Linked DNA regions of Macaca fascicularis. The protein of the gene in region 2 interacts with the protein of the main gene of each other region in a pairwise test. Links are inferred from orthologs where the notes say so. Each region holds a gene or a part of one and is shown on either strand. Other genes may lie near its edges.

The links.
Region 1: the proteins of CDK5RAP3 (region 2) and DISC1 interact in a two-hybrid assay, tested with the Homo sapiens proteins (2 studies listed by BioGRID and IntAct). The link is inferred for Macaca fascicularis from reciprocal best matches to the Homo sapiens genes CDK5RAP3 and DISC1.
Region 3: the proteins of CDK5RAP3 (region 2) and TSPYL4 interact in binary tests that used the Homo sapiens proteins (3 or more experiments, as listed by UniProt). The two-hybrid records come from large-scale screens. The link is inferred for Macaca fascicularis from reciprocal best matches to the Homo sapiens genes CDK5RAP3 and TSPYL4.

What each region holds. Positions count from the first base shown.
Region 1 is NC_088375.1:17,383,559-17,393,554, forward strand, and holds part of DISC1 (disrupted in schizophrenia 1 protein), read right to left. Parts: intron 5,631-9,996; coding exon 4,651-5,630; intron 1-4,650. UniProt on the Homo sapiens protein: Involved in the regulation of multiple aspects of embryonic and adult neurogenesis. Required for neural progenitor proliferation in the ventrical/subventrical zone during embryonic brain development and in the adult dentate gyrus of the hippocampus.
Region 2 is NC_088390.1:58,756,801-58,767,405, forward strand, and holds the start of CDK5RAP3 (CDK5 regulatory subunit-associated protein 3), read right to left. Parts: upstream 6,544-10,605; 5' UTR 6,519-6,543; coding exon 6,513-6,518; intron 6,303-6,512; coding exon 6,257-6,302; intron 3,536-6,256; coding exon 3,404-3,535; intron 3,124-3,403; coding exon 3,023-3,123; intron 2,659-3,022; coding exon 2,610-2,658; intron 1,875-2,609; coding exon 1,696-1,874; intron 1,494-1,695; coding exon 1,354-1,493; intron 1,137-1,353; coding exon 992-1,136; intron 296-991; coding exon 185-295; intron 1-184. UniProt on the Homo sapiens protein: Substrate adapter of E3 ligase complexes mediating ufmylation, the covalent attachment of the ubiquitin-like modifier UFM1 to substrate proteins, and which is involved in various processes, such as ribosome recycling and reticulophagy (also called ER-phagy).
Region 3 is NC_088378.1:20,269,684-20,280,159, forward strand, and holds TSPYL4 (testis-specific Y-encoded-like protein 4), read right to left. Parts: upstream 6,018-10,476; 5' UTR 5,952-6,017; coding exon 4,707-5,951; 3' UTR 3,994-4,706; intron 2,477-3,993; 3' UTR 2,229-2,476; downstream 1-2,228.

The DNA.
Region 1 (9,996 bases), on a different chromosome or scaffold from region 2:
ACTGTGACTAAGGGGGTCACATGTTCAGATGGTGCAGGCTGGGTTCTTGAGTGACTCTATGGAGCAGAGCCCCCCCTAAAACCTCTGTGGAACACGAAGCATATGCAAGAAACACAATTTTGTTGTGTTGAGCCTGTAACGTAGTGTCTGTTACCAGCCTATCCTAACTAACACAACCTCCAAAGCCTAGCATAAGGCATTGTACTAGTTGTCATTGATAAATGCTTTCTGAATGAATGAAAGAATGAATGAATAATCATATTAACCCCTTTGTCCTTGAATTGCTCTATATTACAACTGCAAAATTTGCCAGTAACTTAGTCCCGTGTATCAGGGAGAGAAGAAAGGCTCTGTGAATGTTTGAAGGCCACATAAAGCTATAGCATTACCATCACCACACCCAAATGATGGTATCGTTAAACATTTATTTGAACAGAAGCTGAAGAAATGCAGGAAACAGGGACAGAGAAAAAAATTCATTTACAGCCAAAGCCCACCCCACGATGCCCACCTTGTCCAGTGATCTCTATAAGGCCTTGAATGGACTGCCCTGGGATATGTCTGAATACCCATCTTTGCTGGAAGCACAGCCCCAGTGGCCATGTCTTGCACGGTACCACAACCCTGCCTGTGGAATGTCCTATAATGCCCTGCAGGCACAGTCCTTCCTTTTTCACCAGTTTCCACGGCCTTAGGTGGAGCCTACCTTGTAGGGCCCACTCCACTTCCCCTCCTCTGCATGCCTGATCACCAACTGCCTTTATTACTATCCTCTCAGTCCCACACAACCTCTGGAAATCTCGCTAAGCAGCGATTTCTAAACAGCATAAAATATACACAGTTGATTCTCCTTATTCACAGTACTGTAGTTACGTTCTGTAAAGTTTCTGTAAATACTGAATTAGGGAATAATGAAGCATTGCTCCTAGGAGGAAATACAGGGTAGCTTCCCGTGAGCCCCTGGTCACAATACTTTCCTCAATCAATCAACAAGTAACCTTGTTCTACGTGTGTTTCTGTTTAAAAACAATTTATTTAATATGTATTAATGATCCATAAACATTGTACTCTGGCCAACAGCACTCTAACTCACGCCTGAATGAAGTTTCTGGAGCACCCATATCTTCTCCATCAGGCCCATCACAGCCTTCTCATGCTTAGGAGCATTAGATGGCATTAGTACTATGCTTGGGGGGCATTTGCAATGGTGAACTCACCAATAAAGAGCACAAAAATGTTAAAAAAGATGGCATTAAATAGACCACAAAAAGGGTACTAGTTTGTAGTATGAGAGAGAAGGTAGAATGTCATCTGGTCTGACCTTGTTTGACCTAAGTAGAAAGGGTGTACATCAGGTGACCCAAATTTTTTGCCACTCTGTGCAGGTTCAAAATTACCAGCAGGCATGGTGGCTCATGACTGTGATCCCAGTACCTTGGAGGCTGAGGCAGGAGGATCGCTTGAGGCCAGGACTTCAAGACCAGTCTGGGCAACATGGTGAGACCCTCATCTCTACCCCCCAAAAAAAAAAAAAATAGCCAGGCATGGTGGCACACGCCTGTAGTCCCAGCCACTAGGGAGGCTGAGGCAAGAGAATCGCCTGAGCCCAGGAGTTCAAGGTTACAGAGAGTTATGATGACACCACTGCACCCCAGCCTAGAGGACAGAGACCCCATCTCTTAAAAAATAAAATAAAAATGAAAAATGACCATAAAGGTGCCGTGAGTATTGATTTTGGAGTTAACAAGAAATTTTAGCAAGTAGACAAATTCACACATATAGAATCCATGAATACTGAGGATCAAGCATCTTTTAGAAGAAGCTGAAACTTAAAATTCCTGAGATTCCCATTTTTACTTAAGTAGAAGGGAGAGGAGGTTAAGGAATTAGAATATAATATCAAAAAGGCCCCCAAACACTAGAAATCCTACTCTTTCAAAGGATCTCTTTGGAGATCCTTCACCCGACCTTCCGCCCCGTCCCGAGGGCCTCAGCCACAACCCCAGTGAGCAGTCTGGGGCCTCTGCGTAAGCACCATGGGAAAACAAGTCCCTGAGCAGCCCGCCCCATCAAGACAGTTCCCACTGTCAAGAGGTTCTTCCTCCTATTGAGGCAAACTCTGCCTTCCTGTAAGTCCTGTGCCCTGGGCTGAGTTATTTTCGTCATTCCCACTACTCAGTTAATTCCTCTCCCACACAACAGATACTCAAGTACGGCCTTGCGTCACTTAATGACAGGGATGCATTCTGAGAAAAGCATTATTAGGTGACTTCATCACTGGGTGAACATCGTAGATTGTGCTTACACAAATCTGGATGGTGTAGCCCATTTCACACCTAGGCTAGAGGGAAGAGTCTATTGCTCCTGGGCTACAAACCTGTGCAGCCTGTGACTGTACTGAATACTGCAGGCAAGTGTAACACAATGGTAAGGTATTGGTGTATCTAAACATATCTGAACGTAGAAAGGGTACAACAAAAACACTGTATGATAATCTCATAGGACCACTGTCACATCATATATGTGATCCGTCATTGACCAAAATGTCATTATGCAGTACACGAGTGTAACTGAAGATAGTGCCATGTTTTTCCCTGCCCAGGTGTGGGACTGCCATAGACAACAATACTTACACTACAGAAAAAGTGTATCCAGATTCTACCATTTGAGAGAAGATAGGAATTTAATTTGAGCTATGGGCAGAAGGGAGAGCTTCATTAGCTTTTGACTCAAACTCTCTAAATAGGAGCTATTTCTCTAATGATGACTATGGGCAATTTCTGGGTACTTGCTAGGAGCTAGGTCCTGTCTGAAGCACTTTGCACATACGATCACATTTAGTTTAATTAACTGGAGAAGAGAAACACCGCAGGAAGGTAGACCCTCTTGCTAAACCCAGGTGAAAGATAACAAGGATCTGAGTCAGGGCAGCGGCCATGGTGGTGAGAGACAGATGAGCAGTAGGACTGAGAGGGCTTGGAGGCCGGCCAGATGTGGAACGAGGGAGAGGGAGGTGTGGAAGATGGTTGTGGTTTCTGGCCTAAGAAACTGGATAGATTCTATGCATTCGAATCAACCAATATTGGAGGCCCTTCAGAATGGGTTTGGGGGAAAGACAAGGGCATTGGTTTAGGCAATGACTAACTGGAAGACTCCACACATCACCCAGAATACCAGCCTGCATCTCTGCTCTGGCCTCAATCCCTCTCTGCATAATAAATCAGAGGGCTGGGCTGAGGTCCCTGAGGGCTGAAAAAGGGCAAACAGGGACAGGGCTAGGAACACCAGACTGCAGATAAAGAACGGAAGGTAGATGCTCTTTCGGGGAATGAGCATGAGCTTCTGCAGATTCTCCTCCCAAATGCCTGATGAGTGGGTGCTCCACTTCCCTACTCACATGAACACATCCCCACACACATGCGAGTGCACACACACCCACAAATACATACTCACACACGCATGCATACACACACATGCACACACAGCACAAACATGCACACACACATACACACACACAGCACAAACATGCACACACATACACACACGCACACACATGCATACCTATATGCACACACGCACACACACACACCTATATGCACACACAAACACGAGTGCACACACACCCACAAATACATACACTCACACACGCATGCACAAACATGCACACACAGCACAAACATGCAGACACACATACACACACGCACACACATGCACACGTATATGCGCACACACACAAACACATGAGCACACCCACAAATACACTCACACACGCATGCACAAACACACGCACATGCACACACATACACATGCACATGCAAACACATACAAGCACACACATGCACACCTCTATGTGCACACACACACACACAAACACACATATGTACACCCACCAGGATTAAAACACAGTCTGGCAATAGATCAGCCACAGAGCATCTCTACCTGGGCTTCTCTGGGAATTTTTGTGGGTAGAGGAACCCTGCCTACTTCTGGCTATACCCACCTCTCAGATAACTGGATAGACAGCAACATCATAAGGCTGGGCCTTAGATGTCTCCAGTTTGTCCTTATTTCCAAAGCAGCTACATTCTCATTTGAGCCTTAGAACAATCCTATGAGTTGGTGTTATCTCTAAATACGGAAACTGAGAGCCGGAGAGGTTCAATGACCAGAAGCGAAGTCTCCTGATCCTATGGAAGGCAGCAGTCACTGCAGCAGGATGGAAGGGAATGAGTGAAGTGGATGAAGAGCAGGATCGCCCTGATACAGGGCATCCCCATTTTTGTATCTCTCAACCCCTTCTAAACATCATCCAGCTCAATCTCCCCTGCCCCCAGTTTCCTGTCTCAAAGCAGAGCTGAGCTGAGTTAACCACGTCTCACCTAGGCCAGGGCCTGTGGAGGAGCCTGCGGCCCAATGGAGAGCAAATCTGAGCACCTACGTGACAGAGAAGACAAAAGGGAGGGTAGATCTGTGTCCAATTCAAAGAGACAGAAGTGTAGCAACATCCTTGTTCAGCCAGCTCCAAAAGGAGCTGCTGCAGCTTTTAGGAGGATAGCAGTTGAGCCCAGAACCCCTCACTTTCTGCCATCTGCCCAGTGCTAATCTGAGCTCACGACAATCTCGGGCTGCAGAGGTGGAGGAGACACTGACCTCCACCTGCCTCCGGTTTCTCAGCAGGCAGTCCCGCAGCACTGGCTCCCATTTCCTGAGCAGGGTGTCCCAAGAGTGGGCATCCTCCGATCCGCTGCTCCCATCACCACCACAGCCAGCCAGTGAGGGATCCAGAGAACTGGAGGAACCAGAGTCCATGTCCGGTAAAGAATGCATCTCACACTCTGGCCTGGAGCTGTTCCCGGCGGCCTGGGCCAAGTCCTCTGAGACCTGTGTAGCCAAGAGACTGAAGGGCCGAGAGAGACATCGAGGGTCCTTATGAGGCCCGTCCAAGCTGGCAGCTTTGGCTCCCATCTCCTGGGGGCTCTGGCAAGGGGACTCGGCCTCTCTGGATGGTGGGCAGCCTTCTGCTTCTCCACGTTCCCCGGCAGAGCCAAGCGAGAGCCGAATAAAGCTAAAGCTTGAGGCAAAGGCACTGTGAGAGCCAGGAGGGGTTGGGGGGTCCTCAAGGCCACAGCCAGGGTTGCAGCTATTGCTACTCAACTCTGCTGATGGCACAGAGCCTGCTGCCTGGACACACCTTGCTCCATCACTGCAGGCTGCCTCCCAGCTGGTGTCCAAGGTCTCAGAACTGTCCATGGCTGCAAACTCTTGCTGCCACCCAGCATTCCCAGGGCCACACAGCCTGCTAAGCCTGTCAGGCAATCTGGTGCCACCTCTGAGCTGAATCCCAAAGTGTGCCGAGGTTCCTCTCACAGAGGTCACAGCAGGGGCTGCTGCGCTCTTGGAAACAGGGCTCCCAACCAAGAGGCCTCCCAGGTCAAGGCCACACTCTCTGGTCTTGGACTCCAAGTGGTGGGACTCCTCGCCAGGCACCCCTCCTGGGACCCGGAACAGTGTGCCCACTGCTGGGGAAAGGAACCCGATCCCAGGCCCTGTCGAGCTTCTCATGTAGCCCGGCCTCCGTGCCAGCCGCCGCCTCCGAAAGCACGCTGCAGGTGGTAAGCAATCCCGGCCGCCTGGGAAGGAAAGAGAAAACAGCACTATAAACGTGCAGTTCTTACTGGCCCAGCTGGAACTGCATCTGGAGCACATCCCTAGGTTTAAAGGTCATCTCTCGGTACACCTGTCAAAGATACATGCTGGCTCAATGGTCCTGGGGCCAATCCGTTATGAAAATCCCAACAATCCTCAGGAAGTGTTTGCCTGGAACATGTAGAAATCAACACAGCATCTCAGCTCCTGGGTTTAGCAGAGCAACTGGCACTGCTGTATGCTATGCCCACAGGTCAGCATGAACACAACTTTGGTGGCTCCTGAACCCTCCAACATCTTGCCTGTTGGTCTTTTATGGCACATCAGTACTCTCATCCTGGAGTGGGCCTGGAAAGCAAATGACGTGAAAGTGGGATGCCAGAGCATGCCCCTAAATGAGATCCAACCATTTACTCTAGCTATTCATTGAACAACATGTGAATGTTCACTAGCGGGGCTATCCATGTCCCTGCAAGACTGATCTGTTGCTGCAGACCCATGGATAGCTGGCTGTGCTGCAATGTATGGCCATCATCTCATCTCACTCAGTGAATGACAGGAGGCCTGCTTGATGTGTTCTCCAAACCAGCACTGCATTCCCCTTCCAGCTAGGCTATAGGAATAGGAACAATAACAAATGCTGATTCCTCATTGCCTGGTTCAAACCCTGACTGTACCACTTGCTGGTTGTGTGACCTTCCACAAAGTTACTTAACCGCTCTGTGCCTCAGTTTCCCCATCAGTAAAGTGGTGATATTAACAGCTCTCTCATAAGGTGGTTGTGAGCTTTCAACTAAATGAGTTACTATTTGTAGACAGCTTAGAACAATGTCTGGCACATATGATAAGAGTTATTAAAATGTCATTTTTAGATTGCATAGCATTTTGCTACTCATAATGTGTTTTTAATTTACATTAATTTCATTCACTCCCTCCCAAAATCATGTGAATCAATCAGGCCAGAAACTATAGCTTTCCTTTTATATTGAAGGCAACTGAGATTCAGAGAACTTGCCTTTCCAGAATCCCCTGCAAGTAGCCAAGTGACCAGGCCAAAGTCTCATGACTCTACTGGCCCACACAGAGCTCCCTCATCTCAGGACCCTGCCACATTGCAAATCAGGCATGAAAGTAAAACCAGGCAGCACTGGACACAGCTGTACTCATACCATGGCCTATGGCAAGAAGTGGAACAAAGCTTCACTCCAGGCCCACACATCCTGCTTTGCTTCCCAGAACAGACGTGGTCTTGGAATCTTTGTCCTGTTAAGCCGAGATCAGTAGGCATTAAAGATCCCACTGAGCTACGATCATGGCACATGTCAGCTCCTAAAAGGGGTGGAGTTGGCACTGATAATCTCTGGGAAAATGAGCACAATGACCTCCAGCCCTCTATTTCCTGACTTGAGCATCTGAAGATAACAGAGCCCAAGACTTGCTCACACAGTGACTTGCTCTTGCCAACTGCAGGGAGCCCCAGAAGGGCCAATGCTGCCCGGGGCACACAGAATTCGGAAGCTTGCAGGGAAGGGAGGAAAGGAATCAGGGACCATGAGGTGGTGGTGGAGGAAGTCAGAGTAAAGAAAGGAAGGGAGGCATTTAACACTATAACTCTAGGAGATCGGTACTATTCCCATTTTACAAATAATACAGCTAAAGCTCAGAAAGCCTTACTTTGCCCCAGAACTCCCGGATCATGGTTTCCCAAAGCCCGGACTTGAACTGAGGCTTGTCTGGTTCCAAAGTACACGCCCTTTCAATTCCCTTTGCCTCCAAGTATATCAGTTAGGGCGACAGCGTAAAATGACAGGAAGGCAAAAGAAATATTTCATTTTTTTCTTTCTTTCTTGAAGACAGAGGACATGCGAGTTGAAGCCAGTAGAAAAGGACATGATGAGAGGTACAGAAGGAATCCATCATCCGAGGACATGAGGCTCCCTGCAGTGTCCGGATCCGACCGGCAGGGGGAGCAGTCGGAACAGGGCGGCCGGGCGTTGGGAGGGGGCAGAGAGAGACCCTCAGGGACACTCGCTCATAACCCCTGCAAAGTGGGCAAAACGTTCTCCAGAGGGCAAAGAATCTGAAAGTACGTTAGAGACAACATTGAATTCGGGCTTCAATTACCAAAGGAAAACAATCCAACAATTTCGTATCTTGAAAAATGAGTCCAGGTGAAACCTATATTGTCTGTAGTTTAAAAAGACTTTTAACTATTTTTTTATGTAAGTACCAGTCATGCAGATAACCCTTCTGGAGTTAAAAGAAACAGGCTAAGTAGAAAATTATTTGTTTGAAATTTCATTTCTTTTCAAAGGCCTGAGGGCACTTCAGTCTGAGTAGCCTTTTCTTTTTCTCTTTTTTCTTTTTTTTTTCTTTTTGAGACAGTCTCACTCTTGTTGCCCAGGCTGGAGTGCAGTGGCATGATCTCGGCTCACTGCTCCCAGGTTCAAGTGATTCTCCTGCCTCAGCCTCCCAAGTAGCTGGAATTGCGGGTGCCCGCCACCACACCCAGCTAATTTTTGTATTTTTAGTAGAGAGGGGGTTTCACCATATTGGCCAGGCTGGTCTTGAACTCCTGATCTCAGGGGGTCCACCTGCCTAGGCCTCCCAAAGCGCTGGGATTACAGTTGTGAGCCACAGCCACCGCGCCCAGCCCCTGAGTAACCTTTTCTAAAACCACTCAACCAAAGGTCCTGAAGTCCTGAAAGCCAGGTTCCAGCTGCAGCACAGTGAGGTTACCCAATGCGAACCCTTGTTTCTACTGGGGCCCTGGGAAGCTGTGATGAGCTGGGGACCAGGAGCAACAAGCCCAGGAGGGCAAACATAAGAGAGGTGTTTACCAAACGTGGGAATGAGATACGGGGATCACCTGGCTTCTGCACCCTGCTGAGGGCTCATGCAAACCATCCCCTGGCCATTGGCCTTCCCAGAAGGTGGCGGAATAGCAAAGACTGTCACATACTATGAATCCTAACCCTGAGGGGGCAGAGGGCAGATCCAGAGGGCACTGCTGGAATCTTCTAGAAGAATTCCAGGAAACCCATATAAGGCAGGAATGAAATCTGTAGGAAAAACTCCCAGTTTCCCATAACGAAAGGCCATTTTTTTCTCACTCCTTTGTCCTCTTTTTTTACTTTTATTTTTTGAGGAAATTTATGACATCCCCTGTGACCAAAATCAATTCTCACTTACATATCCAAGTCTTGCCATCACACCTTGCAGTTCAATAAGGATTAGGATGCATTCAGACCTTGGAGATAAATACTCCTTCCTAGCACCTAAGTGCAATCAGCTCTGGCAGGAGGTTCAAGAGGGCAGGAAGCAACGTATGGTAAGGTAAAGGAAAAGCGCACAGAGTGCAGGCAGGTTTTGAGAGCCAGTTAGGAAACAAGCTGTACCCTCTGTGATCTGCGAAACCCAGAGATGCCTCGTTCCACCCATCTAGCCCAGGAACGAACGACTGAGCAGGGAAAGGGACCCTGGCGCAGCTTTCTCTGCTCCTCAAGGCCTCTTGTCCTGCAACAGATCAATTCTAGAGGGAAGTGCTCATGCCTTACTTCCTCTCTGAAGCACAGACCTGCTTGCCCTGGTAATCTATGACCCCTATCTCCACCTTATCCAACCCAACAAGCTCTGATTGGAGGAAAATGAAAGACAGCAACTTAGAACAGACCCAGATGTCAATGGGTCTCTATATACAGTCTAAATAGGATGCCTGGAAATTTATGTTGACCTAGCTTAGAAGGAAAATTGGGGCAAGCCAATATTAGCCAGCTGGATTGGCAAGAATCCTGCCAGCCCTCCCTCTATGCTCTCCCTTCATCTATCCAAATCCTTCCCAGCCTTCAGCTTCCAATCCCTTCCCCATCAGCTCCCTTCTCCTGATTGCCCAGTTAACAGGGCTTCACCAATTGTCCATATCACTCATTCCCTCCATCACTCATTCCCCCCTACGTATTGTTAACACCCGGCACTGTTAGTGATTTTCTGTGGTGGATATGAATTGTTTCCAGTTTATACTACACAGAAGTTTCCTGAGGTCCTTATAATTCCTAAAACAATCCTAGTTTACAGTATATCAGAGAATAAATTAAAATACACATTGGTCAGACAATATTCATTTTTAAATATGAAATCTTAAACATGCAGTTTAAGAAAACATGATACTTAGTTTTTATCCTGGAGCAGTGGCTCATGCCTGTAATCCCAGCACTTTGGGAGGCTGAGGTGGGTGGATCACTTGAGGTCAGGAGTTCGAGACCAGCATGGGCAACATGGCAAGGCCCCATCTCTACTAAAAATACAAAAATTAGCCTGGTGTGGCGGTGAATGCCTGTAATTCCAGCTACT
Region 2 (10,605 bases):
CAGAATGAGACTGCCTCAAAAAACAAAACAAAACCCTGACATGTAAGGTGTGAAACTCTGCCTCCCTTGGACTATACCTGGTCTTAGAGCTATGAACTTCAAGTGATGCCTTTACAGACACAAATGACACTTTTCTGATGGTTAGAGTAGTAATGAGAGAGACAGACTGAGAAGGCCTCCTCACCTTTGAATCTGATTCCAGGAAGACGCCCCAGTCGATTCCAGCAGCCTCGGCAGAGATGCCAGAGTCAGTCCCCTCAGACACTGCCTCTACCCCAAAGTCGCCCCAGTCAATCTGGAAAGGGAAAGAGAGTGTTAGCTCATGGAAGATGGATTTAAAAAGGGCCAGGCGTGGTGGCTCATGTCTGTAACCCCAGCACTTTGGCAGGCTGAGGAGAGGGGATTGTTTGAGCCCAGGAGTTTCAGACCAGCCTGGGCAATATGGCAAAACCCTATCCCTACAAAGATGTTAATAAAAAATTAGCTAGGAGTGGTGGCGCATGACTGTAATCCCAGCTTCTTGGGAGGCTGACTTGGGAGGATCGCTTGAGGCTGAGACGCAGAGGTTGCAGTCAGCTGAGATCATGCCACCGGACTCCAGCCTGGGCAACAGAGCAAGGCCCAGTCTCCAAAATAAATTAATTAAAAAGGAGGGTGGGACTGCCTTCCCAAAGGCCTCAGCTGCTTCTGTAGAGAGCACACTGTTCAAATGCAGTGGCCTCTAAGCTCCCCCAAAGAAAGCCCATCTTCAGAGAGCTCACATGATGGAGGCTCCCAGTTCAAACTGAACCACCTTGCAAAACCTCTGTGGCACTCACTCACCTATACTCAGAAAAATAAAGGAGTAGGGCCTCCTGGGCCCTTCTACCTACAGTCATTCTCACACAAATCCCCTTTTTTCCCTCTGGGTCTTGGGTTGGGCTGTTGGGGGTGGGGAGGGGACAAGCAGCTCCCACTACACTCCCACAGCTCATCACAAGGCCCATCTTACCGCATCCTCTGCTATCTGCTCAGGAAGTTCCTCGAGGTGGGGTCGCTCCACCACAGAGGGCTCTGTCCCTGTCCTCCACTCATACACCGTTGAGTTTCCCCGCTTCTGCACGAACCGCAGCATTGGCAACACCTCCTCTGTGGGGCTTCAACAGAGCACACAACTGACTCTCCTGCAGACCATGCATGAGGCCAACACTGGCCTTTGGCCTGAGCCAGATGGTCAAATGGGCAAGGCCTCCACAGGTTCAGGTGTGTAAAAAGAGTTCAAATGTTATATGGGAAAAAGACAATTGGAGAAGGGACATGAGCTGGGAAACACAGGCAAAGCACGCCCACCAGGAGAAGCTGAGGCCTCTTTACCTGTCACACACAAACCCCACAGAGGCCTGGTACACGTCGATGGCTTCCCCCAGGGACTGCTGAGCCGCTGCCCCAATCTCAGCCAGCTGACTCGGCAGGTCCTTCACCAGGGCCAGCAGTTCTCCTCGGATATTTTCGCCCTACAGAGGGGAGAAGATGGGGAGTGAGACAGAAGTGGTGAGAGGTGGAGTCCAACAGATTGAAGAAAACATCCAAAGACTGAAGAAAAGTAAGACACTGGCCCAAAGCGGACGCAACCGGGCTGAGGAGTCAGACGGGGTCAGAGGAAGACAAGCAGGGGCCCAGGTGTCCTCTGGCTTCGAAGAGGCTGCCGCTGCTCACCGTGATGCCATACTGCTTGCAGGAGTGGTAGAACTGCTCCCGCATCTCAGCAGCCCCTGCCTGGCACTCCTCCTCCTTGCGGCTGTATTCTTGCTGCAGCTGCTGGCACTTGGCAATCTGCTTCTTCAGTGAGGGGATCTCATAGTTGACATTCCGAACCAGGAGGCTAGAGAGTTCCACTGAGAAGGGCCCAAGAAATTCATCCCAGGACACCCCCCTATGAGGCAGGCAGGCCCCAGCATGCACACACCCCCTTTGTGGTAGTGAAGAGCATGAGGTCAGCTTCCCAGCACCGCCTGTTCCCAGCTGTGGAGCCTAAGACAAGTTATTTAACCCCTCTAATCCAACGCTCATCTGTAAAACAGCGACAATAACATTTATCACGAAGATGCAAGAGAGAATCCAGACGACACACCAAGCACAATTCCTTGCGTTTAGTAGATGCTCAGTAAATATTAGCGATCATTACTATTTATACTAAACCCAACCCAAACACAGTTAGTCCTTTAGTTGCTCTCTCTCAGGCACTTGATATTGCTCCTAGGAAAACCTGTGCCTCTTCTGTCTTGTGTAGAATGGGGGTGCGGGGGTGGGGGTGGGGGCAGCACACTCCCGCTTACCAAGAAGAGGTGAGTGGTGGAGGACCCACACACGCCTGCTCGCTGAGGCACGGCGAATGCCCACTACCAGCCTGAACCTCTTCCTTCCCCCAGCACTCCACCCAGTGGAAAATCAATTTGTAGGTGGGAAAATCAATTCCATCAAAAACAATTGATTTTACCACCTACAAATAGGCAACATCTACACTCCAGTCTCTTCCCACTCACAGACTGTGCCTCCTATAAGCCTGGTATCTCAGAACTCTGAATGGGCTTTCCCATGGATACCGGGGCTCCCAGGCTAGGCCACTTTACCTAAGTAGGTGTTGTCCTTCTCATACAGGGCTATAATCTCCTGCCAATCCTGAGTAAGAACAGAAAGATGATGTTAAGCCAGAAAAGCACTCAACAGCCACATCCCAGCTCAATCCCTAAACAGGGGAAGTTTTCCCAGCCTTCATGTTACATCAAACACAAACTCCTTGTCCTTTCAACTCTGCTGGCTGGACCACCCACTTTAAGAGTGCAGGCGATCCCTAAAGCAGTGGGTTTGAAAATTAAACTCAGGGATAGGATCCACTTTGGAATAAGCTATAGAGACAGAGCAAAAGTTCAGGAAATATTCTATGTAGGCATCTCCACTGGAGCCTCAGAGAGACAACACAGGCTATGACTCCTTGGACTGGATGTCCCCAGGCACATACTACCAGCCCTTGGCCCACACTTGCCTTCATCCGCTGTGAAGAGTATCGGCCAAAAATATTTTTTGTGGAGGCCTCTGTGCCTTTGAGAAGGTCCACGATTCTTAGGCAGTGAAAGTAGTGAATGTCTAGAGAGCAAGAGACAGGATTTTGAGAACTAAAATATCTTCCTCACCTACTCTGGGCACTGCAGGTGGCTGATTCATGTATAATATACTGCCAGTAACTTTAGTGTGTAGCTTTTCCTTTCATCATATCATAGTGGAAGAAGCCAGCATCTATACCTCAAATAAAAATCGCTCCCTCTCTAAAGGCCAGCCCTGGTGTCTACATAACAAGGGAGTAGCTCAGCTGATACATACTACCTCAGCAAAGAAGGGACTCCAGTGACAGCCCCTAAGCACTCACAGGACCCAGACAGCAGCTGGGCGATCTCTTCGCTCTCTGGCATGTCCTGGATGGCAGCATTGATCTTCTCTCGGATCGTCAGCACCAGACTCTGCCATTTCAGGCTGCAGTGCCTTCTGTCCACCAGCCAATCTACGTGAGAAGCACCCAAACTGGAGTATTCCCATTCACATCACCAAAATTCCTTCACTAATGGGAGTGAAATACACTGAAAATAGTCTAAAAGTTGTCTTTACATTGATTAATAAAGTATGGGGTTCTGGAAAGATGGGAATAAAGACAAGCCCAAAGAGATGCCTGGGGCTATACAGGCTCTGACAATCTGACTTCATTAGCAGTGTGATTTTTATAGAGCAATTGCCTCAACACAGGGATAACACAAAGTTTCAATTGGTCCTGACATGAAAGTGCCACTTTTGACCATTCTCAATTCCCCATAATATTTTTGCTTCTATGGGTAATTATATCTTTCTTCCTGACAGAGGATGCTGCTCAACTTCCATTTCCTCAGGGCTGGGATTAACCATGACAATGGAAAATGCAAGATGGTTATGCCAAGTACCGGATGAATGAACAGCTGCAAAGCCTCTAATACCTACAGCGCCCTAAGGACTAGATAACATGACTCTATTGTGAACAGTGAAGTACCACCCTGTACATGTGAATACCAATGGGACTGACCTCTCAAAGTCTGGGCCCAGATTTGTGGCTTCAGAGCCATGCATATTTCCTCAGTGAGAGCTAAGAGCTGAGCTTTGTGGTCAGATGGTCCTGGGTTCTAGTTATTGTTATCAAGTTTCTTGAGCAAGTCTACTATTCTGTGCCTCAGTTTTCCCACATGTAAAATGGGGAATAATAAGACACTGACTAGAAAGGGGAATGCAGGTAAAACACTGAACAGTGTGCCTAAAACATGGCAAGAACTCAAAAAATTATAGTGATCATTTTTATCATGTTAAGTGCCTAAAACGGCACCTGGTACAAAACAAACCCTCAATGAATGGTAGTCATTTTATTGGTCCTTTTCATGACCAAGAACAAGCTCACACAGCAAGACTGCACATGGGCTGAAGGGCCAGTACAAATCTGAAGGGAGGCTAAAGAAGCCCCTCATGGCCACCAAGCAGGACAGACTAAATGGCCCCACAGAGTGGTGAATTCAGAACCTGTACTCTGCCAACCAGTCAAACACTGGGGTCCCACACTAGTATCAGTTATACTCCCTCTGCTATATTCCTGTAAAGTTTTCAGAAAGAAAAATTATGTTGATGTCACAGAACTAGAAGCAATGGACTGGGGTAGTCAGATACCATCTTTTTTTTTTTTTTTTTTGAGACAGAGTCTCGCTCTGCCGCCCAGGCTGGAGTGCAGTGGCGTGATCTTGGCTCACTGCAAGCTCCGCCTCCCGGGTTCACGCCATTCTCCTGCCTCAGCCTCCCGAGTAGCTGGGACTACAGGCGCCCGCCACCTCGCCCGGCTAGTTTTTTTGTATTTTTTAGTAGAGACGGGGTTTCACTGTGTCAGCCAGGATGGTCTCGATCTCCTGACCTCGTGATCCGCCCGTCTCGGCCTCCCAAAGTGCTGGGATTACAGGCTTGAGCCACCGCGCCCGGCCATCAGATACCATCTTAAGGACAAGACTGGCATCAAATCCATGAATCCAATAAGCATTTTAAAATGCCAGGAGCTGTGATCAGACGAAGAGGCCTTCCCTGATTATGAACTGGGGAGGAAGCATGCAGGCCCCATACAGATAACCTGGAGATGGCCTGGACACTAAAAGGTCTTCATTTCCAACTGGGTCTTAGGTCTCTCTTCCTCCTAAAATCAAGTGGGAGGTGAAGATTTTTAAATGAGGGGTGTTTTTTTTTTTTTTTTTTTTTCTGGCCTAATGCAAAGGGCATGGACAGTGGGTCAGACAGACTTAAGTTCCAAATGTGCCACTTAGTGGTTGACTGTTTTTTTGTTTTTTGTTTTTTGAGACGGAGTCTCGCTGTGTCGCTCGGGCTGGAGTGCAGTGGCCGGATCTCAGCTCACTGCAAGCTCCATCCACCTCCCAGGTTTACACCATTGTCCTGCCTCAGCCTCCCGAGTAGCTGGGACTACAGGCGCCCGCCACCTCGCCTGGCTAGTTTTTTGTATTTTTTAGTAGAGACGGGGTTTCACCGTGTTAGCCAGGATGGTCTTGATCTCCTGACCTCCTGATCCGCCCGTCTCGGCCTCCCAAAGTGCTGGGATTACAGGCTTGAGCCACCGCGCCCGGCCGGTTGACTGTTTTTTGTTTTATTTTTGAGATGGAGTTTCGCTCTTGCTGCCCAGGCTGGAGCACAATGGTGAGATCTCGGCTCACCGCAACATCTGCCTCCTGGGTTCAAGCGATTCTCCCGCCTCAGCCTCCCGAGTAGCTGGGATTACAGACATGTGCCACCAAGTCCGGCTAATTTTGTGTTTGTGTCTGTGTATTTTTAGTCATGGAGACATGGAGACAAGGTTTCTCCAGGTTGGTCAGGCTGGTCTCGAACTCCCGACCTCAGGTGATTCGCCAGCCTCGGCCTCCCAAAGTGCTGGGATTACAGGCATGAGCCACGTCGCCCGGAGTCATTTATCCTATCCCTGAATGATAGATAACATATGTTATTAAAGGAGAAAACACAGGTCAAACAGACTCTACATATGGTTCCTTCCGGCTGCTCTCAGGGAAGCAGGTCTGGCCACACGTGGGGCGTAGAACGAAGCCAGTGGTCAGCACCTCGACCCTGGCTTTCAGGCGTCAGAGCTCCCAGCTGTTGGACACAGGGGGCAACGAACAGGCCTCCCCCCGACAGCCAGCTAAGCGGTGGCGCCCCCTCCTACCGAGCAGCTTGCTGGTCTGGATGTCGATGGGCACGTGCTGATGGTCCTGGAGGGAAACACGGTGGGGAGGGGGGCGTGAGCGCGGCTGGGAGGACGAGCCACTCGCGCGCTCATTTCACGGTCCCAACCACCACCCTGCAGGGCCAGAACAAGGCCAGAGCGATGGGCTGGGTTGAGCCGCGCCCGGAGGGAGACCGGGGACATAGGTTAGGGGTCCGCGGCCAGTTCCCAGCACACCCAGCTCCTGTCCCCACACCTCCATCTTTCCTCCACTTCCGCTTCAGGCCGGAGACTCTGGCCCGCTCCCCCCCGCCCCAATCCAGTGGCGTTATGGCCGAGCTTCAGTTTAGACACAAACGGGCTTCCTTCGGCCACGTCGCCGCCTTCCGTACAGCCAATCAGGGTATACGCTCCACTCAGGCCTTCAGCCCCGCCCACCCCAAGGCTCCAAAGGCTGAGCTCGGGAGGGGCGGGAGAATGGAGACAGCCAATCGGAGACGCGAGGCGGGCTCACGGCCGGGGACTGGCGGGGGTGCGCTGCAGCGGCCGTGCGATTGAGGCAGGCGGCGCCCGAGAGCCCAGCTTGGCAGCAGCTTCCCCAGGCGGGCACTGGGTCCTCTCCGTGCGGATTGAGGTGTCTGCTGGCGGGGTCCTAGCGCCGATCTGGGAGGCCGTTGCAAATGCCTTCTTCCCTTCTTGCGTCACTTTACCATCCAGAGCAGTGTACAGGTCTCTTGTGGCACTTGTCATGCTTTGCCTTCTCATTAAGTTTCTCAAGTAGACATGGTTAAGCACCTGCAACGTGTGGGGCGATTAGGGCAGGGAAGGGGAAGGAGGAGGATCAGTGAGACGTCCCAAAGAGAACACCTACATGGAGTCTAAACGAACAGCTGAAGATAGCTGGGTGATGTGGGAAGAGGAGTTTGCTGAAGATAGCTGGGTGATGTGGGAAGAGGAGTTTTAGATGGAGGAGACTACAGAGACACAGCTTAGGTGGCCACAAACTGCAAGAGGGGTGCAAGCAACAACAGGCAGGCTGGACGGGCAACGTAATTTGTGAGGTCCAGTGCAAAATGGAAATGCATGGCCCTTTGTTACAAAATGAAAAATTTCAAGATGAAGTCGACTCTGCGGGCAGGCCCGAGTGGCTAGAGGAGAGGCTGTAAAGGTGGAAAGGTCATATCAAAGGGAGCCTCATTAAGGAACTTGGACTTCATCTCTTCAGACAGAGGAATCACAGAAGGGGTTTGAGGCAGGGAGGAACCTGTACAGATAGGCTGCTGGGATGATGAATGCATGGGAGATAAGACTGGGGGCAGGGAGGCTGGAAGGAGGTTGTTATCGAGGGATTATAGCCTGAGCTGGGACACAAGGTATAGGGAGGAAGGGGAAGGGCTGGATCTGAGGAATATTTAGGAGGAAAATGGATAGGACTTGGCAATATGATTGGCTGTTTAGGTGGAGGAGAGAGACACCAAGGATGACACCTAGGTGATTAGGTGGAAGCCACCACCTGAGACAGGAATGCAGGATGCTGAGCAGGTGTTGGGGAGGAGGGGGTCTAGCTTTGAACCTGGTCTGGCAATGCTGAGATACCCCCAGATGGAAAGTGTGCAGAAGGCACTTGGGTCTATAATTTTGGAGTTCAAAGGAGTTGTCGGGGCTGGAGATACAGCTTGGAGAGTCACAAGCTGGCTAATCTGTGGTCCGAATGGTGGCTGAAGCTAAGGGAGAGTTTGAGATTGGCCAAGAAGTGGGTAGGGTAAGGAGGGAGGGTGGGCTGAGGCCAGATTCCCCAGGATCTCACAAAGCTGGGTATGCCATTTCTTTTTTTTTTTTTGAGACGGAGTCTTGCTCTGTCGCAGGGGCTGGAGTGCAGTGACACTATCTCGGCTCACTGCAAGCTCTGCCTCCTGGGTTCACGCCATTCTCCTGCCTCAGCCTCCCGAGTAGCTGGGACTATAGGTGCCCACCACCACGCCCGGCTAATTTTGTTTTTGTATTTTTAGTAGAGACGGGGTTTCACCGTGTTAGCCAGGATGGTCTCGACCTCGTGATCCACCCACCTTGGCATCCCAAAGTGCTGGGATTACAGGCATGAGCCACCGCGCCCGGCCCTGAGTGTGCCATTTCTAAATATTCCTTCCCCAGCTCCTGCTCACCACAGCACAACACTTGAGGCTTAGTAAATTTTTGATTGAAATGCATAGTGTGATACAGCAGCGGGAAGACCTAGATTCTGCTCAGTGAGGTCTTGGAGCATTTCTATACCCTCTCTGATAGCCACAGTTTCCCCACATGGAGATAACAGCTATCCTATTTCAGGGTATTTCTGTTTAGAGGCATAAATAAACACACTAGTAACTCATGACAATTTACAACATACTGTAGATATATTTCTCATGCTTTGTAAACTCTTCCTATATGAAATATCATATATGGGCCAGGCGTGGAGGCTCACGCCTATAATCCCAGCACTTTTGGGAGGCCAAGACAGGCAGATCACCCAAGGTCAGGAATTTGAGACCAGCTTGATCAACATGGTGAAATCCCATCTCTAAAACAAACAAACAAAAACCACGCCAGGCACGGTAGCTCATGCCTGTAATCCCAGCACTTTAGGAGGCTGAGGTGGGTGGATCACGAGGTCAGGAGTTCGAGACCAGTCTGATCAACATGGTGAAACCCCGTCTTTACTAAAAATACAAAAATTAGCTGGGTGTGGTGGCGTATGCCTGTAATCCCAACTACTCAGGAGGCTGAGGCAGGAGAACTGCTTGAACTCGGGAGGCGGAGGTTGTAGTGAGCCGAGATTGTGCCACCGCACTCCAGCCTGGGCGACAGAGTGAGACCCTGTATGAAAAACAAAACAAAACAAAAAAATAAAAACAAATGAAAAAAAACCCAAAAACTATCCTGGCGTGGTGGGTGCCTGTAGTCCCAGCTACTTGGCTACTCAGGAGGCTGAAGCAGAAGAATCACTTGAACCTGGGAGGTGGGGGTTGCAGTGAGCCGAGATTGTGCCACTGCACTCCAGCCTGGGCAACAGAGTAAGACTCCATTTCAAAAAAAAAAAAAAGGCCGGGCGCGGTGGCTCAAGCCTGTAATCCCAGCACTTTGGGAGGCCGAGGCGGGCGGATCACGAGGTCAGGAGATCGAGACCATCCTGGCTAACACAGTGAAACCCCGTCTCTACTAAAAATACAAAAAGAAATTAGCCGGGCGTGGTGGCGGGCGCCTGTAGTCCCAGCTACTCCGGAGGCTGAGGCAGGAGAATGGCGTGAACCCAGGAGGCGGAGCTTGCAGTGAGCCGAGATCGTGCCACTGCACTCCAGTCTGGGCGACAGAGCGAGACTCCGTCTCAAAAAAAAAAAAAAAAAAAAAAAAAAAAATATATATATATATATATATATCATATATGATCATTATTATTATAGAACAAATTGAAAAACTGCTCTGAAAATGGCTCATAGGGCTGAACTAAGGGCCTTTTCAGGGATCTTTCATGGGAATTTGGCTCCCATCTGAGTCAGCCTGACTCAGGCTGTAGGAATTGCCCAGGCTCCTCCATGATTAAACAGACACTTAACTGGGCCCCAACTATGTGCTCGGGGCTCTCTGGGACATCCCAAGAAGCAAGGCACTGCCCTGCCCTCAAGGTGTATCTATCTCTCTTCCTGGGCAGAACAGGACAGGGCGGGTCTGGAAGACCCAGCCCAGGTGAGTTGATGGAAGCAAGGACCACCAGCCGTTAAACTCCACCCGCAGCTCCCCAAGGTGACTCACGTGGAGCAAAAGGATGTTTGAGAACAGTTCTGCCCAGCTACTGACTCCAGGGAGGCTGTCCTAAAGCCAGAGGCTCTGGGACAGAACCTACCTCTGCTGACTGCAGAGGCTCTGGGGGAGAGCCTGCCAAAGGCACATGCTTCTGTGTTCTCAAAGAGTGTACGAGCATTGGCGGGTGTCTGCACTTTTCCAAGGCCACAGGGAACTTCAGGGCCTGTGGGCAGATAAGCACATAATTGGTCTGGCATCCAGGGCATCGACTCTGTCTACTTCAGGAGACTTTAGTCGTTGGGGCTCCCAGCAGCTAGAAGGAGGCAGAGAGAGGTATGGTAGGTTTCTGATCAGGAATCTCTCAGTTCTCTGCTGATTTAGCAGATGGGACCCTAGGAGAGGGGCAGCACATGTAGAGAGGTGAGGGAGGATATACCAGGGCTGTGCCAGCTTTGGACAAGGAAGCACAGAGCCCTGAGGCACTGTGTAGGCAGCCTGCCTTGCCATTCATTATTGTTGTTGTTAGCTTGCTTATTACGTGATAAACATGTCCACGTGCCAGTGTAGATCTA
Region 3 (10,476 bases), on a different chromosome or scaffold from region 2:
TCATTCATGTGCAGCAAACATCAAGATTACGTAAGTAAATTCAAATGTGTTCATCTGTAACTATATGGAATCCTGTATTAAATCAAGGGATAAAATGTACTCCTGTCAAAGGCTGTTCATGAATGATTAAACATAACCTTCAACTGAGGCCTGAATACTCATGTCAATAGGGTTTAACATTTGTATGCCAAATTTACTACCATAGCTGTGATAGTGTGGAAGGTATGCTAGCTTGAAATCAGAAAACTCAGCAGTGAGACTTGCATCTTAGGCAGTTTACTTCCACTTTCTGGACCTCTGTTTTCTCAACTATTTAAATGGAAAGAATAAAATTTGTTACAAGGTTTATCAAAGTAATAAGAGACTGCACTTCGAAGTGCCTGACATACCTCAGATCTTTTGAGGAGATTGTGAAGCCAGGGAATATGTCACTGAAACAAGATCAAATATCCAGGTCTTAAATTGTGATTCTATAGGACAGGAACTCAAAAATTAAAAATACAGGTAAGAGTTTTAGTTTTTGTTCGTTAATGACGAAAACTTTTAAGGACGCTTGAGTTAGCTGGAGACAAAGCAGCAGCACCAGGAGTAATGGGGAGAAGGGCCTGATAAGAAGGTCAGAGAAGCCTTTTATAAGTGTCTGGCTTGTGCTGAATGCCCAGAAATGGAAGCCCAAGGAAATGTTGTGTGAGGACCAGGAAATTATGCAGTGTCACCACTACTCACAGAGATTATCGCCTGAGAAGACTAAAATGATAATACTTCTTAGGTGACCAGAGGATGGGAGAACCTCTTAACAGGTTTGGAGGTCCACATAAAGAATAATTGGGGTCTAGAATTATGGAAGAAAAAGCAATACAAAGAAATGGAGCAGGGCTATAGCAGTGAACCAATTGGTTGGTAAGTGAAACCTGTAAGATGCCTAATTGAGTAACTTTAATTTTATTAGACTAAACGGAACAGAAACCATGCTAATCTGTAACAAATAAGTGGCACCAGCCTATTAGAGTGAATGCTATTGGTTAGACTAAAGCAGATAATAAGCCAAGTGTAGGAAAAATGACATTTTCTGATTACATCCAGAACAGGCACAGAAAATGTATAATAAAGCTTGAAACAGGTGGTTGACAATGCAGAAATCAGTCACTGAACTGAAAAGGTAAGATGAACATTGTTAGGGGAATTTAGGATTAAGATGGATGTAGAGCTTGCAAAAGAAAACCTAGGTCTCTAATACTTAAAGTTCTCCAGCCCTAGAAAAAAATACTGCAGCAAGAAATTGCAAGTAACAATTGCACCAGGAGTCAGCATCTATCTAACTGTATGTTTAATTAAGTTTCTAACTCAAATGAGAAATTTTGGGCCATTTTTGTCAAATTTTTGCTTAAATGGCTACAAATACTTGGCAATTCATTTTCACAGATTTTGCAGCATCCATAAAGCCCTCCTTACTGCAGAGAATGCAGAGGTATTTATCCAATAAAACTTCATGTAATTGCTGCTATACAGCAAAACTATCATTACTGGTAATTAAAGTTGTGATGCCTGATATCATTTGTCTCTAGACATTTTATTTCATGTTTTCTTGGTATTCTTTTTAAAGCCACACACTGGTGTAAGAAAATAATGTAAGTAGCACTCAGAATACACAATAATTAATTCTTCCAAAAGTCTATCTTAAGCTTATTGAGAGTTAGACCTCGGAAGGCACAGTTAATATAAATGTAATGAACAAGGATGCTGCATAGACAAGTTTTCCACTGAAAACAGTATTTTAAGTGATACTATATGGTGCTTCAATTACCACCAAAAACTGCACTGTTATATAGAAAAAATAATGCTCATGAGTATGCAGTTGTAGTTGGGCTTCTATTTACCATTTTTCAAGTGAAAAATCTTAGGAGGTTTGGTGGCTGTTGCTTTTTTTTTTTTTTTTTTTTTAACTTTCAGGATGATAGTTACTGGTATCATTTGATAACTTTAATGATTTCCTAACCTTAAATTAACCTAGACAACAGAATTTTTTATTTATTTTTATTTTTTGATGAAAACAAGAAATACAGTAGTGACACTTTGTTTTTCCTTCAAGCACATGGGAGAAGACAAAAGTACTAATAATCATCATTGAGTTTGACAGAGAAATTCTACTAGTACTTACACTGCTTAGGAACATAAATGTCAAGTACATTACTAGGGCAAGAAGTATCAAGTAAGACAACAGAGTCATATTTTTCTTTTTGAGGTTATTTTCACAAGACATAGCAACAATTTGTAAAATATTCAGACTACTGAAAGATCACATTCAAATTATATTTCTAAGAATAGAGCCATATATGAACAGAGAGCAGAACAAGCTAATACATTAATGAATATTCACTGAAGTCTTCATACTGCACAGGACACAAATTTGGTATTTTTGCACATGTTGTCAATTATAAGCAAAAAGCAGGCCTGTAAACATCAATTTTGTCATAGGCTGAAACGGAGAAAGGAAATAGATTTTACTCAAAAACAGTGACATAAGGAGCATACACCATTAATCTTCCACACATATAAAGGTCACTCCTAGGATAATCGAGAGGAAACACCCTTACAGTTTTGTTTACAAAAATCTACTGGTGAATTCAAGGACTTAGGAAAAATTGAAGGAAAATCTTCCTCCAAGCATACGATTTAAATACCAGCTCCTCTTCCCTGGGGCGCACCTCAGGGGCCTACCCTCCCACCCCTGACCCTGCAGGGTCTTTCCTGTAGGCCTTTCCAAACCCACTCCACAGCAGGCTCATTTCTGCTCTGGACTTACTCAGTTTCCCAACCTAGACTAACCTCTCCACTGTGTGTGTTCAGACCTCCTCAACCCTAAAGGGGCTTAGGTCAAAGCCTTCAAAATCGAAAGGGAAAAATTCCCCTTATCCCCTACAAGGAGGTTGGAGATCTTCCAGAATGCAGGCTGCAGCCTGCTTCTTCATTTGTTAGGAGCAAGGAAGGAAATGCAGAAGCTGAAAAATGAGGGCCAAGAAAGCCAGGCAGTAGGATGAAGACACATGGGACATCAGGGCAGGAACAAAGTAGTACAAAGGAGAAGAATGACCTACAAAATGCTACCCTTGGGTCATTTCCAAGCAGTCCAAGGCCTAAAAAAGCATTTCCATCTTTAGAAAAGTGGAGTGAAGCTAAGTTTTGGTTGCCTTCGCTCACATCCTGTTCAGGACCTGTCCTGAACCCATCACTGTAAGGCCCTTCTCTCTCTTTCCAGCTTCTCAAACTAAAAGCTCAAGAAATACACAGGTTTTGGTAGAATGGATAGGGTAAAAGATAAAGATGTCAAAACCTGCCTAAAAGAACACTGCCTCTAACTAAACAACCTATAGGTCTCCCTTTGAAATTGTCAGACCTTGCTAAAGGAAGTGGGGTGGAGGAATAAGGGCAATAAGAGATCTGGAACCCATTTAATCATACCTTTCCTCTCTGAACACAATCAAGGAAAGAGCAAATTAAACAAAAAGTCTGCTTTGCCAGTTTTGTTTTCTGTTCATAAGCTAAAACTGCTTCAGAGTGAAAGGGAAGAAAAGAAGGGATGGGAGGGAGAGGGGAAGGGGGAGGGAGAGAAAGAAAGAGACACAGAGACAGAGGCATAAGAAGTCTCACATTCCAGAAATATCTCTTCCTCAATGCCCCAACTCTGGCAACTTTGTCATGTTCAGAGTGGGAGCAGGCGGGGAAAAGAGGAAATGCCTAAAGAAGTTGCTCAGATTAAGGATGGTTTGTTGGCTAGCAATCAGAAAGACTAAGCTGGAAGGGACTGCGTTCCAGCCTTGCTTTGGGCACTGTCACATATGACTGCCCATCCTGGTGGTAGGGGGTGTTCCTGTGAGCTCCCTGGGAGCTACGTCTACAGATAGTTCCTGAAGGCAGACAATGGTGGCCTAAGCAAAGTTCAACCAGAAGGTGAGAGCAAGTAGGGCTGGGCTACAGCACAGGCTTCATACTTACCAGTAGCTGGTCATGATGTAGAGTAACCAAAGGTACAGGAACACCAATGTGATATCATAGAACACTTTTCATCTATTACCTCATTCATGCCTAGCAGTCACCCACCAGCCACCAGCTTGTTCTACCAGATAACCAGTAGGGTGGATGGCACAAGCCCAGGAAGGCAGCTGGGATCCAGTTGGTGGTAGTCTGGAATGTCCAATTTGGGTTGACGGCTGGGTTAAGATATCAGTTTTGTCTTGCAGTGGTAATACCTAAAGAGCTTACCATAAGTACATGGGTATCAGGTACACAGCCAGCATAAAGTATGAAGCCCAGTAGTTATTTGTGAAGATGTATCAAGATTCTTTGTGGTACAGAACCACCTAAACTGGGAGAAGACCACGGTCACAGACAGGGTCCAAGCCATGCAAAGAAAGGCAGTATGGTACAGTACATCTATAGTATCATGTTTGGCATAGAAGCCGTAGAAGGCCATGCACTTGAAACATGTTAACACAATGCAGAAAAGCATGAAGGTCCAGAGGAAGAATGGCATGGGCAGGTAAGCCAATAATCTTGCAACTGATTACTGAAGATTTAGAAGAACCAAAGGAAAAGATAATCCGCAGTATGAAGAGAAAGCAGACAGAAGACTGCATGCTGTTGGCCAAGCATAGGTCCAAGAGGAGGTGGTAAGGAAACTTGTGCAGAAGCTTCTCACAGGACAGAGATTAGCCAGACTGGAACCTGAAGGATCTGGCGCTCTCCACCGGCTGCCTTGGTGGGCCTCGAATTCCTCTACGGGGCCCTTCACCCATCAGGTAGTATTGTAGGGGATTGGGCCACAGTTCTCCTTTGATAATCTCTGCAATTCTGTCGAATTCTAGAAGGCTGTGGTCTGAAAACCAGTTGAAGAAACTAGGGATAGTGTTCCCTTCCCGGTTTCTGTGGATATGAGCCTGGGGATCTTGGCCTCGGTGCCAGCGGATTGGAGTGGAAAGAGACACCACTCGCCCGGAGGATCTGCGCTCATATTCCTTGACGAGCCCCTCATTTCGGAAGTAGGGGTTGCCCTGAAAGATGAACTTGAATTTGCAGCCTGCTCTGGGGTGTTTAAGCTCCTCCACCTCCAAATTGATCATGTACCTCAGCATGTCTTCATCTTGGCCACTGATCATAGGTGACAGCTGGGGGTGGTTTCGAAAGGCAGTGACCCAGAAACCTGGGATATTTTGGATAATGAAACTTCTGCGCTGCATGTGGAGTCTTCGCATGCGGCCAAACTTGCGCTCAAGCTGAAGGAAGGCCCTGTCAGCCTGGGCATTTACGTTTGACAACTCTTGATCGATGGCCTCCAGCGAGTCCATGCAGTTATTGATCTTCGGGGCCCTGGGCCGTGTCTCCTCTTTCACCCCTCCTGCCACCTTTTTTTCCTTCTGCACTACCTTCTTTTCCTCCATCACCGCCCCTGCTTCTCCCTCCTTTTCCACCGCTGCTGACATGGCGCACTTTTTAGTCGTCACTTCCTTGGCCTTCTTCCTGGCTATCATCTGAGACCCCAACCCCCCTGCGCCACAGGCTTCTAGAGCCTTCTGCCCAGCAGGGCCACGGGGCTCTCCAAGCTGACAGCCATTTTTCTGGCTGTTATCAGCAGCCTCGGAGGCAGAGGCTGCTTCCAGACCTTTCGTAGAAGGTGGAGCATCCTCCTGCCCGGCTTTGGTCGCCACACAGCCGCGACTCCCGGCAACTGGGACGCGGAGCGCGGGGCCGCAGTCAACAGGATCCCGGGATGCACCTCCCTCCGCAGCGGTCTCCAGGCTGCCCCCACCTGTGTTCGCCATCACCTGTGTCGCCTCGGTTTCTTCATGGAGCACTTGGCACTGGTCTAGGACCGGATCTCCTGAGGCATGGTCGGGAGCAGCCAGGTCGCCGGTTTGGGCGAGAGGGAGCTTGTTGCCCCCATCCAGGCCGCTCATTTTGGTAGAAGTCAGACTGGCGGTAGAGGGAGAGTTCCTTGTCTCCGCAGCGGCCGCACTCTGCCCGAAACGTCTAGCGCCACCCCTCTTTTACTCGCCGCGGTGCTACCATGGCAACCGGTGATGTCAGAGCGGTAGCGTCCTAACATCGCGCGAGAACTCTGCGCCGGTGACTACGCTTATCAATCCGTTGTATTCCTTTGTCTTCTTGTCACAAAAAGAATTTCATCAATCTGGAAAGGGAGTTTTACTTACGTAAATGGATGTAGACCAGACTCAAACATGTGAGAACTGTGTTAATGTGGATTTATAAGCCTCTGAATGAATTTCTAAGGCACCTAAGCTATTGTTTCTTAAAATAAGGTTAGTTACTGTCTATTCAAGTCAGTTCATAGGGCTTCTCGTGAGTAGGAAAGTGGATTCACAAACTCACAGGCTTTCCTTCTTTAAGGTATGGATTCTCGGCTATTACCAAAAAATTTAGATGAGCAGAGTTTGATTTTTAAAGAGAAGTGTTACTATGTTTAGTGTTATTTTTAAAATTAAGGAGCAGCTGAAAGGCAAACTTCTCTCCTCCTAACAAGACATAATAAAGGAATATTTCAATTTGTCTTACAGATTTTAAAGTTTATATAATTTGGCCAACATCTACAAAGCAAGTGGACAATATTTCCTCTTCACTTTTAACTAATAAAGAGTAGCAAAATGTTTTTCCTTACGTAGAGGTGACTGGCACAGGAGCACAAATTGAGGCTTTTGAGCGGTACTGAAAGAAATATCTCAGGGGATTTTAATTTCTAAACTGATGCATATGTTCTTTTCCTCAGGTTACAATCTTAATCTAAAAGTGTTTCCTGCTTCATAATGCCTGTAGACGTGAAGCTAACAAATCTTTGCCAAAATGTGTTCATGTGGTAATTCACTGCAGCACAGGAGCAATAATCAGCTATGTGCCGGGGCATCTATGCTATTGTCTCTTAAAATATTTACTTTAAAAGTAAGGTTAGTTATTGTCTGTTCAAGTCAGTTAGCCCTTACAATTCATTTGATAGTGATTACCAGTACAATATGTTAGTTTGTTGGAGTGAGAATAATGGTGTTAATCCTTGGAAAAATGCAAGACCAAAGGGAAATGTAAATTTTGCATATTTATGTTTAATGTCTTACATTTATATTCGAATAAACGGTTATGATTATAACTCTTTGTAAAAGAAACTCCATTTTGAGCACCCCAGATTATGATCACTTTCAAATACAGACTCAGAAGTACAGGTTTAGAAAAAAAGGATTTAGAGGAATGCAGCATATATACTAAGACTTCTAGCGAGGGAAGGAGTGTAGCTCTGGTTCAACTAAGATAAAGTACTGATGGAAGGTCACTGGCAGATAATACAGAGAAACAGCCTACCTTGCAGGGTTTTTTGTATGCCTAGTCAGCCTACCAAGGACAATGTGTCCAGAATGACCTCTTTACTGCCTGCCAGCTAATCAGTTATCCCATAAGAAATAGCAAACAAGATTCACACAACAGAGAGCAATTATTTTTCTCTCCCTCTTTCCTCTTTGTCTTAATAAATGCTCTTTTTTTATTTGTGTGGTGAAGTCAATCTGTTGAGGTATCATCTTTGTAAACAAGTAAACAGTGTGTTATAATTGACTTTGTGACTTTGAATTATTGACACTGCTCTGTTTCTTTTCCAAAGAATCTTTGCACTGTTGAAAGAGTAACTCTTTTCCATTATAACCTGAGCCAAGTTGAAGAGAAGCAGGGAATACTGAATGAAAGTTACTTTTCCATGCAGGAGGAAAAAAGAAGTTTGCTATTATATAAATTTATAGAAAAATATAAAATTACATGTGAACTTATTTTTCTTTCTATGTGTGCCAAAATTTTTTAAAGATTTATATCTCTACTACTCAAAGCATTCCCATCTCCAGCTTTTATTAGCTCTGTTACCTGAATCATTTTTCACTCATAACCACCTGGCCATTCTTTAACACTCAGTTCATGTAGATTGTACTAGGCAGTTTAAATACATTAGATTTTATAAACAAAGACCCAGTGAGCACAGAGAAGTTAACATGCCCGTGGTCACATATATATTAATTGGCAAACTGCCTCCTCCCACTTTAATTACTTTACCTCCTTCCTTGATTACTTGCCATTTTGACAGTTTTCTGATTTCTGTATAGCCCTTATGACTTTTACCATCCAACTTAGTACAGTTATGTTTCACTTAATGACAGGGATTTTGTCATTATGGGAACATCATATAGTACATCTATCAAACCTAACTGCAATAGCCTACTACACATCTAAGCTAAATAGTATATCATATTGCTCCTAGGCTACAAACCTGAACAGCATGTTGCTGAACTGAATACTGTAGGCACTTGTAACATAATGGTAAGTATTTTTGTATCTAAACATAAGAACGATACAGTAAAAATAGAGTATTATAATTTTATGGTCCCACACTTGTATATGCAGTTCATCTTTGACCAAAATGTTATACAGCAAATGACCGTAGTTACTTATCCTCTACTTTTTAACTTTATTGGTTGTTTCATTAAGGTCAATTTTATCCCAGCTAGATAATGATGACTGCATAGCAGCTTCTGTAGCATCTACCATAGTATAGCCCAGTTACTGTCTCATAGAACGTTTTAATGAATCTTGATATTTAAGTGAAAATTTAAATTTAAATAAAAATTTTGAAAGATTTTACCAATATGAATAGTGTGACTATCCTTGTGTTTCATTTTGAGGTGTGTGGATATATAATTGTAGCTATGAGTTATATTTTACATTTTTTGCATATTCGAATAATATATATTTTGTACACAGTAAAGTCTATTCTACTGGAAATTGGCAATAAACCTTACTACACAGAAAAAACTACATCAGTGACTTCTGATTCTATGGAAAAATAACGATAGAAAATGCCATGAAAATCCATGAGGTAGTTTTTATTTGCAAGGAGGAAAGATTTACTGGAAGTTCAAACATAAATTAATACAGTCTAACAGGAATGACTTTACTGAAGTATACAGTAAAGATTGGAAAATTTGTGAAATATCCCCTATTGTTACATCTTTGGCCAGCAGTTTCTTTTTCAGAATGATATAGTTTCTAGTTCATTATAGCTTACATTTATTTAGTGTTTTCTATATACCATATACTTTTATGCGCTTAAATGTGTATCTCATTTAATTTTTACAAGGACCCTGTGAGGTGATATTATGACCTCCACTTCACTATGCCTCAGAAGGAATCGAGGCAATGAGAAATAAAGTGGTTTATCGAAGATTACACAGCAAGTAGTGGAGCCACAATTTGAATGAGGTAATCTGACTAGAGAGCCTGTGCACTCATTCACCATACTATTCTGCAACCTTACACAACCTATAACATGAAAAACCACCTTCTTAGAAATAAGACTGCATGACCATCCCAATTTAATGTTGAACTTTCTTCTTTATCTTCTTTTCCTTTACCTGTCTTAGTCTATTCAGGCTGCTGTAACAAAATACTATAGAGTGGGTGGCTTGTAAACAGTAATTTACTTCTCACAGTTCTGAAGGCTGGGAATTCCAAGATCAAGGTACCAGCAGATTTGGTGTCTGGTGAGGGCCTGCATCCTGGTTCTTAGACTATAGTTTGTTGGTTTTTGTGTTTTGTTTTGTTTTGTTTTGCTGTGTCCTCACATGGAAAAAGGAGTGAGGGATCTCTCTGGGGTTTCTTTTATAATGGCACTAATCTCATAGGGCTCTAACCAGAGGTCTCTTTTATAGGGCACTGATTGCCTCCCAGAGGACCCTATCTCCAAATACTCTCACATTGGGGATTAGGTTTCAATATATTAATTTGAGGAGGACAAAGACATTCAGTCTATAGCCTGCCCCATCCATAAAATTAGTGACAATTGTTGAGGAAGTGCCCAGTTACTAAAGAGAAACAAGAATTCATGATTCTCTGTTTCAATACCTTAATAGTTCTCAACTCATCAGATATAACATTTATTTTTTACTTTTATTTTTATTTGATTTTATTTTTAGATGGAGTCTTACTCTGTCGTGGCCAGGCTGGAGTGCAGTGGCAAGATCTTGGCTCACTGCAACATCCATCTCCTGGTTTCAAGTGATTCTCCCACCTCAGTCTCCCAAGTAGCTAGGATTACAGGCGCCTGCCACCATGCCCGGATAATTTTTTTTTTTTTTTTTTTTTTTTTTTTTTTTAGTAGAGACAGGATTTCACCATATCGGCCAGGCTGGCCTCGAACTCCCAACCTCAGGTGATCCGCCTTGGCCTCCCAAAGAGCTGGGATTACAGCTGTGAGCCACCGGGCCTGGCTAGATATAACATTTCTTTTTATAACATGTTTTCCTTTCTTGAAATTCATATTGTATATCAACATGCACATTTTTTAAAGTCATTATAATAACTTAGCTGTAATTTAAAGGAAAAATAAAAGGAACGTAATTTTTAAAATATCTATTTTAAAATATAAATGCTTTGACATGC